Stegostoma tigrinum: one gene and its partner. The protein of the gene in region 2 interacts with the protein of the main gene of each other region in a biochemical or structural test. Links are inferred from orthologs where the notes say so. Each region holds a gene or a part of one and is shown on either strand. Other genes may lie near its edges. The genes, in order: troponin C, slow skeletal and cardiac muscles; troponin I, slow skeletal muscle.

The links.
Region 1: the proteins of troponin I, slow skeletal muscle (region 2) and troponin C, slow skeletal and cardiac muscles are reported together in a solved structure, tested with the Homo sapiens proteins (2 studies listed by BioGRID, with this or other methods). The link is inferred for Stegostoma tigrinum from reciprocal best matches to the Homo sapiens genes TNNI1 and TNNC1.

What each region holds. Positions count from the first base shown.
Region 1 is NC_081364.1:20,356,645-20,360,572, reverse strand, and holds the start of troponin C, slow skeletal and cardiac muscles, read right to left. Parts: upstream 2,704-3,928; 5' UTR 2,638-2,703; coding exon 2,614-2,637; intron 1-2,613. UniProt on the Homo sapiens protein: Troponin is the central regulatory protein of striated muscle contraction. Tn consists of three components: Tn-I which is the inhibitor of actomyosin ATPase, Tn-T which contains the binding site for tropomyosin and Tn-C.
Region 2 is NC_081374.1:32,239,113-32,243,040, forward strand, and holds the start of troponin I, slow skeletal muscle, read right to left. Parts: upstream 2,613-3,928; 5' UTR 2,612-2,612; coding exon 2,532-2,611; intron 1-2,531. UniProt on the Homo sapiens protein: Troponin I is the inhibitory subunit of troponin, the thin filament regulatory complex which confers calcium-sensitivity to striated muscle actomyosin ATPase activity.

The DNA of each region.
Region 1 (3,928 bases), on a different chromosome or scaffold from region 2:
TAGTTCACTGAGTTTACTTCATATTCGGTTTGAGTTCAGACATATTTGAAGAAGTGACAATAATGGGTACAGCACTGAACACCAAAAATTATTAGAAAGTGGGCTGGATAGAATCAGTTGTTTTACTCAATCACTTGCACTTGCTCAAAAGATTCAAGCATGTGTTGACAATAGTTTCCTAACCTGTGTTACAATTTGTTCTGAAGAAGGGTCACTGGATCTAAAACATTAACTCTGTTTTCCCTGCACAGATGCCGCCAAACATGTCGAGTTTTTCTAACTTTGTTACAAATGATTGGGATCTACAGTTCCTTCTTTTGGCTTCTTTATGCAACATTCTGCCTCCTTGATCCTCTTCAGTTTTTCTCATCGAATGCCATTGCTTTTCTTAATTTTTTTTCCTTACTTACATTTCGTCATTTTCCAGTCTTGTTTCTTGGTTTTCTTTCCATCTTCTCTATAAACTTTGTGTTAAATAAGCAATAAACATGCACTGTGGCTATTATCATAAGTTCCTGAATCAATTGATGTCAGCAGAAACTTTACTCTGATATCAAATATTACAACAGGCTTTGAGCCATCAAAGAGTCAAAGTCCTACTTTAGCTTTGCCTACCTATTCTAAGAGTTCATTATTGATCCTACTTTTGAATGCAAATATTACAGATAGTAAACATTTACTCTAAGATGGTAGGAGTGAGCACTAGTTTTGAATAAGGCAATAAATTAGTTGGCACATTGCAGAGGAGTTCTATTAGGATTCAGGAAGCTTAAGATTTTCTTCTACCTTCAGTTTTTAACTTGTGAAATCTTAAGCATGCAGTGAGCATTCAGCAACTATATCAATTTCAGCCTTGGATGGCTGTCTATGTGGAGTTTGCATGATCTCCCTGAGTCTGCATGGGTTTCCGCCATGTGCTCTGGTTTCCTCCCACAGTCCAAATATGTGCAGGTTAGGTTGATTGGCCAAGCTAAATTGCCCCATAGTGTCCAGGGATGTGCAGGCTAGGAATATTAGCCATGGTAAAAATCCCCATGCATGGATATGGGGAAGGGTTGGGGAGTTGGGTTTAGGTCAGATACACTTCAATGGGTTGGCATAGACTTGATAAGCCAAATGGCCTCTTTCTGCACTGTAGAGATTCTATGATTCTATATATCCAATTGCCAAAGTGGGAGTTTGGTTATACCTCTTGAATAAGTACATCCTACCACCAAACTAATTACATTCAGAATTCTCCCTAACGCTCAAATGTTTTCTAAAGGATCTTACTGAAAGAACTGCCATGAAAAGCAGTCAGCTGCTATCATTGTTCTGGCATCTCATCTGGACCAGGATGGTTTGGACATGAATAGGTACCGAACAAAAGCAAACTCTTTTATAGGGCTATTCACTGTGGCCTTGGTAACACGACTCCTTGTTATTTTTAACAAGATAAACGACAAGACAACTGTGGAGGAGAGCTAAGACAAATTTTACCGTGCATGGTTTGCTTTTGTGTCCGTTTTGATTGACGTAGACACACATCCTTGAAATTTTTATCTGAGCATTTGGGTAGCTTATGGTGGAAGCTTATCGCCAAGATAGCTGGCTCCTCGCTGCCAAAATTAGCTCTAACAAGCAGGAGCAACACTTGATCGCATTCTTTGAAGACGGCATGTAAAAATTACAGGCAAAGCCTCTGTTAAAAGGACCTGAAATAATGCAGGCGTCCCTTAATTATACTTCAAATTTATAGCTAGTAATTTGTGCGCAATACACTTTTATGAGTTGGACTAACTTTGGAATTTGTTTTGGTTCATAAAACACGAGTCGTAATGTAGCATGTCAGCTTTGATAAAATAAGCTATATGAACTAAAAATAAGTCAGGACAACAGGTTTGAATCGAAAAGAAATGGAATTCTTGGACCGATGGTAAAATCACATGTGGGCTGTTTAATGTCCATTGGGAGATGTCTATAAGTTGAGACAATAAAAAGGCTACAAAAATAAGTCCGAATTGGGAATCATTAAGAGTCTTTAAAGCTCACTTAAAAATGGAAATGTTACTTTAAGCACAAGAAACGCTTCAACTCCTTATCAATTATCGACTAATGAAGACAAACTTTATTTTTTCATATGCTAATTTGAAAGACTGGACTTGCATTCAATTCAACCAAAACCAAGCGAGTTAACCGGTCACCCTCTTTCAACATGATTTGTAGAAAATCAATTTTCTGCGTAGGCGCCGGCTGACCTGCTTAACTGTTCGCAAAGATCGACAATTACTTCTAAATAACTGTCCACGAACAGCTTTAATTTGAACGAAGGAATACTACCGATTTTTTTAAAAAGTTGTTACAAATTTAGATAGCTTGGTAAAATTATAACTTAAAATTTTATTCAATGATCCTGCTGTATGATTATTTGTATACGACGTCTTTGTACTTTATGTCAGATCAACAAAAGAAATCTAAATTCTGGCTCAAGATTCGCCCAAAGCCATTCATTACACGTGCACATTTTCTCTAGAAGGTCATTGCAATTAATTTGCAAGTTTCAGAACAAAGAAAAAGTGAAAAACTCAGATATAAACTGCGAAACTTGTGTCTTCCTTCAGTGACTGTACTCACCGCTGCTTTGTAAATATCTTCCATAGTTGAGGATGGATGCAGCGCTGTTGGCAGGCAGAGAGTCAATGGTCCTGCAACATCTTTTATAGAGGTCACAGTTCCACCAGGACATTAAACACATGCTGGGCTCTTTATTCAAGCCGAACAGCCGTAAATCACTGGCAACTTGTCAGATAAGAATTGGGAAAAAAATGGAATACCTTTGGGGTTTTGGGAGGGGGCGGGGAGAGGCTGCAATACCATCGTCAAGACATAATTAAACTGGCATCTTGGCCTTTCACCTCCTCTTGTCTTTGATATGTCGCTGGGGATAACACAAGGTCTCGCAGCTTTGGAAGTCCTGTTAAAATGCTACTGATGGCTCAATACAAGAGACAGCCGCTGGTCAAATATTCAAGTATACAAGGAGAACAGTTACAGCTGAAGGGTTAACATTATTTTTCTGTTAATGGTTTAGTTTGGAGGTAATCAGATTCTACAAACAAAATAACAAAACAAAACATTTAAAAGTAAATGCAAAAGTAGGTAAATATTAAGTTGAACTATGAACAATACAATTAAGTTTTTGGTTGGTTCTTTGTTTGGCTGTAGTTCATCTGTCATTGCAATGTGAGAATTTACCCGTTAATGTGGATTGATTATTTTGGTGATGGTCACATTTGGTTTAGCATCTAATGGGCTAGCTATGGCATATTGTTGTGCTTTGCATCATTGCCATTCAACTGTATAATTTGGTCACAAAACCATCCCAATCAAATTTCAACAAGTGATGCAAGGCCACTTCAAGAATATTACCTTTCATGGCTTGACCTTGCTTTTCATCAATTTGGAAAGTTCCCAGATGCAGTGGATTACCTTGGGACTTTAAACCTATTTTAATCTTTTCAAATGTTGGCAGAGAGCTGATTGTCAGCAAAAAGGTCTCCACCCTGTATTCCCAATCCTCCAAAACTGGCTTTTCCTTCCTCCTGCTGTTGGTGGCTGTGATTTCAGCTGTTTGGATTCCATACTGTGGAATTCCCTTCCTAAATCCCACTGCCTGTCCGCCCTCCTCGCCTCATTAAGACAATTCATGAAAGCCACCTTTGTAGATTGTTGTCCAGTTTCTTTATAAATTTAAACAGTTTTGCATGCTTTTCTATGTTAGAGGTGATATATAATTGTCAGTTGCAGTTATATGTGTATATGTGTAGTTATAAGCCTGCGATTACACCACAATTCCTCAGTAGGAATGTCATAATGTATTTGTGGATTATCTACTCTTATCACATTACACCACTGGGAGAGAAGCAGCCAGCAACTATATAGATAATGG
Region 2 (3,928 bases):
GTAGTGTATTTTGTAGATGGCACATATGGCTGCCACAGTGTGTTGGTAATGGAACGATTACACGTTTAAATGAATGCGTTCAACACTTTTTATTCAATCTGACAAGTCATTCCATTTCCATATTCCCAGATAGAAATGAAATTCCAAAACCAATATCAAATTACAATGGTCTAAGTCTTCCGATTACTCTTGGACAGATCTGACCAACAATGATCCTGATTGCGCACTTACTTGGTAGTGATATTTACAATCAAACGTTTGAGTGTAACCTGTCCTGGATGCCTCCATCTCAGGAGACCCTCAAGGAATTCATTCAGTATTTGGTCTCCTGTGAAAAATAGTTTAAAGATCCCAAAGGTACTTAGATAAGTTACGAAGAGAAGGTAAGTGTGTGAGGGTTTAGGGTGGCCGGATGGCAGATAGATAGGTGAGGGAGGATAGTGTGACAGGTAAGTGTGTGAGAGCCGGAGGTAGCAGGAAAGAGGATGAGGGGATAGGATGGCTGGTAGGTGAACTAGAAGGGTGATGGGTAGATGGGCAAATGTATAGGCTGCCAGGTGAGGGAGGTAGCAGAATGGCAAGTAATTGAGTGGGGTGGTAAGTTGGCAGGTGAATGGTGAGAGAATTAGAATGGCAGATAAATGGGTGACAGAGCAGGGTGGCACATGCGTACTTGAAGGGACAGGCTAACAACAGGTAAATGAGGAAGGGAAGCAAGGTAGGTAAGTGGATAGATGGCAGGTGGGTCCGTAGGTGAGGGGCTAGAGTGGCAAATAGGAGTGAAAAAGTGGTGCTCACATTATGTGCTGTAACACTCCCATGTCCCCATTCCTGACTCCGATAATTTTTGTGAGGTGGGAGAGGAGAGTATATGAAACAGAGAGAAGTAAAATCCCAATAATGACTGGGCACTTTCTGGTAACTAAGGGGTACTTAAACAGCTCCCATTCTAAGGTGGCAACATTTTTGTTGGTGCTGCTAGCTCTTAGAAACTACATAAAACAAAACCTTGTTGGGAGCAGCGTCAACAATGTGGAATTTTAGGAAAAGTGGAAACTTTAAAGGAAATCTGTTCCACAGCAATGAAATTTTACATGAAGGTTTCCTTGTGCTGTCTAAAGTTCCAGGTATCCATATGCCTTAGCCAACAGAAGGTTCAAATGGTTTCGTTTTTTTAAAAGCTTATAAAACCAGTAAGTTGGGCCAGAATGTGACCTGCTTTTCAGCCTCTACTGTTGCTCCTCACTAAAGCCACTAATTGGCCACCACTTCTAAGCTCTCATTGATTAACGCCAACCTTCATCAAAATTGGAAGCACTGTCTCTTTCCCCTCAAGGGATGGGTTCATGACCCGGAACACCCCTGTCAAATCCCACCACATCAGACAGCATCCAGCTGGCCCTTTATTATTGTATTCCAAATCCAGGAAATACAACTTTGAAGTGAGCTGGAGGTGATGTTTATAGCTGAAATTATGTCAAAAACATGAAATCCATGCAAAAAGAAAATCAATTTTTATCACTTTGTCCCAAAATGAATTCAACAGGGACTTGTTTGGTAAACAGTACCATCTATTGCATACCAAAATAAACAGAAGAATTACTTTCCTACAAACCACCTCTTTAATCAAGCTGAGGGAAGTGAAGGGAAAAACAATAGACATTACTTACTTAAAACAATATATAGTACTGCTATCCAAAATAAATTAATCATCAATTACATGTGAGTGAATGAAGAATTAAGTACAATAATTCTCGATGGTTTGATCAAATTTCTCATCATAAGAGGTGTGTAAAGTATATACAAGAAAGCATTAGGGCTATAAGGGAAAAATAACGGTAGTATTATCTTGGAAAATAAAGGAATTAACAACAATGCTGCAGCACGTTACTGTTTTTTAAAACCTAACGATCTGACCACATAAGCCTTGTAGTAGCCGGAAATAATGTGAAAGTAAGAAATCTTCTAAAATGTAGGACAAATTTAAAAGCAAGAAGTCCTGGTTATCAACTGCTCTCCACTTAATATTCATGGCAACTACAGGCAGCATATTAATGTTTCACATCATGCAACAGAAATTGGTCCCAGGTTCTGACATAAACAAGTAATGCCAGAGCAGCGATCCATTATATCGAGTGAAACTGGTGATGAGGTTCTGCATACAAGTGGCAGCTGCTATGATAGCATTGTTTGGCACCACCACTCAAGGTGAATTTTGAGCTCTAGCCTCCTCCAGAAAGAAGTGGCCTTCATTTTCAAAATCCTCCCCAATCAGAATAACGCACTAAATGCAGCTTTTTGCAGGGAGGTAGAGGCCTAGTGGCATCACTGGACTATTAATCCAGGAAACTCAGCTGATGTTCTGGGGATCTGGCTTCAAATCCTGCTGTGGCAGATGGTGGAATTTGAATTCAATGAAGAATGTGGAATAAGGATTTAATGATGACCATGAAACCATTGTCAATTGTTGGGCGGGGAATGCCATCTGGTTCACTTAAAGCCCTGTAAGGGAGGAAATCTGTCATCCTTACCTGGTCTGCTTAACATGTGACTTCAGATTCTTACTTGCGAGATGGGCAATAAATACTGGTCCAGCCAAAGATGCCCACATTCTGTGAATAAATGCAAGAAAACACAGATTTGAGTCATTTCCCCAGATTTTGTTTGTTTTGCAAATGCCATGTCAGGAAAGGAATGAAAAGGAACTTTTCAGAATGAAGAGACATCCAGTCTACATTCACTTTCATGTATGGCATATAAGTTTTACCTTCCCACTTGGCTAACATCAAATTCAAGAAATAAAACCTGAGCCGATGAAACATGTTCCCTAACAGCTCTGAAAGGAAATACTCAATTAGCTAACTTCAATTGTTCTGTTGTGTCACCACATATGTATAGAATGATGCACTATGTCCAAACATGTGCACGTTGGCTGCCCTCAACAGCCCTAGTACAATATAATTACACATATGCTGCAATTGCAAGTGATTTTAGCGTTCAGATCATCTACCTGTGTTATTTATCTTTAGTTAATCTTCTTTGATGACACGGTTTAAAATCGATAAAGCAACAAAGACAATTGACGCAATTTCTTGGGGCCACATTAAAATATATTTTGAAATCTTTTACGTGCTCTGGAGGATTTTAACTGTGTACCTCTAGTTATATGCCTTGTGCTCTGTTTCTGGCCTTGGATAGATATGCCACAGTTTCAGTACACATTTATCATTTGTAAATAGAGAATGTAAAGTAAGTAAATTGAAGACAATCAGACCTTCTAGGCTCTATTGCCGATTACTAATTGTTTAGTTTCCATGTGCAAAAATGGATAAATTATAAGGATAAATGAGCTGAGTGCTGGCAGAAATAAAAATGACACATAATTGGCTCATCATCAGATTTTCAAGGGTTATTAGCAATGAGTAGTAAATTTTGGCCTGCTCATTTATGTTCACATGCCAAGAAAGAATTTTAAAAATTAAATGCCCTTCAACAACATGGGATACTGGCTTTTAACATTCATGCCAAGCTATTTACCTTAAGTTCTCATTTTCAATCCAACTTTCATAAAAACCATTTGCACTGGAGAAATTTATAAGATGTATTTGTTGGTGGGTTCTTAGAGGGACAATGGTAGTATCTTTACATCTGAACTAGGAGGCCTGATCCTGGGATGTGTAGGTATAGGTTGATTAGAAAATATCTATAAAAATAATTTGGCATTGTGAATACAGCTATGACCCTCCAATATAATCCAGGGACACATACATTAAAATCTAATTATTGTTCTTGTATGAGGTAATCTACTAAAATAGGAGGAATTATTCTGAACAGTCTTTTTTGACACCACTGAACCTTGCACTATATCAGAAGGAAAAAGGATTCAGCTATAGGTCTTAAGTTGCATCCATCTTTAGAATATCCAACT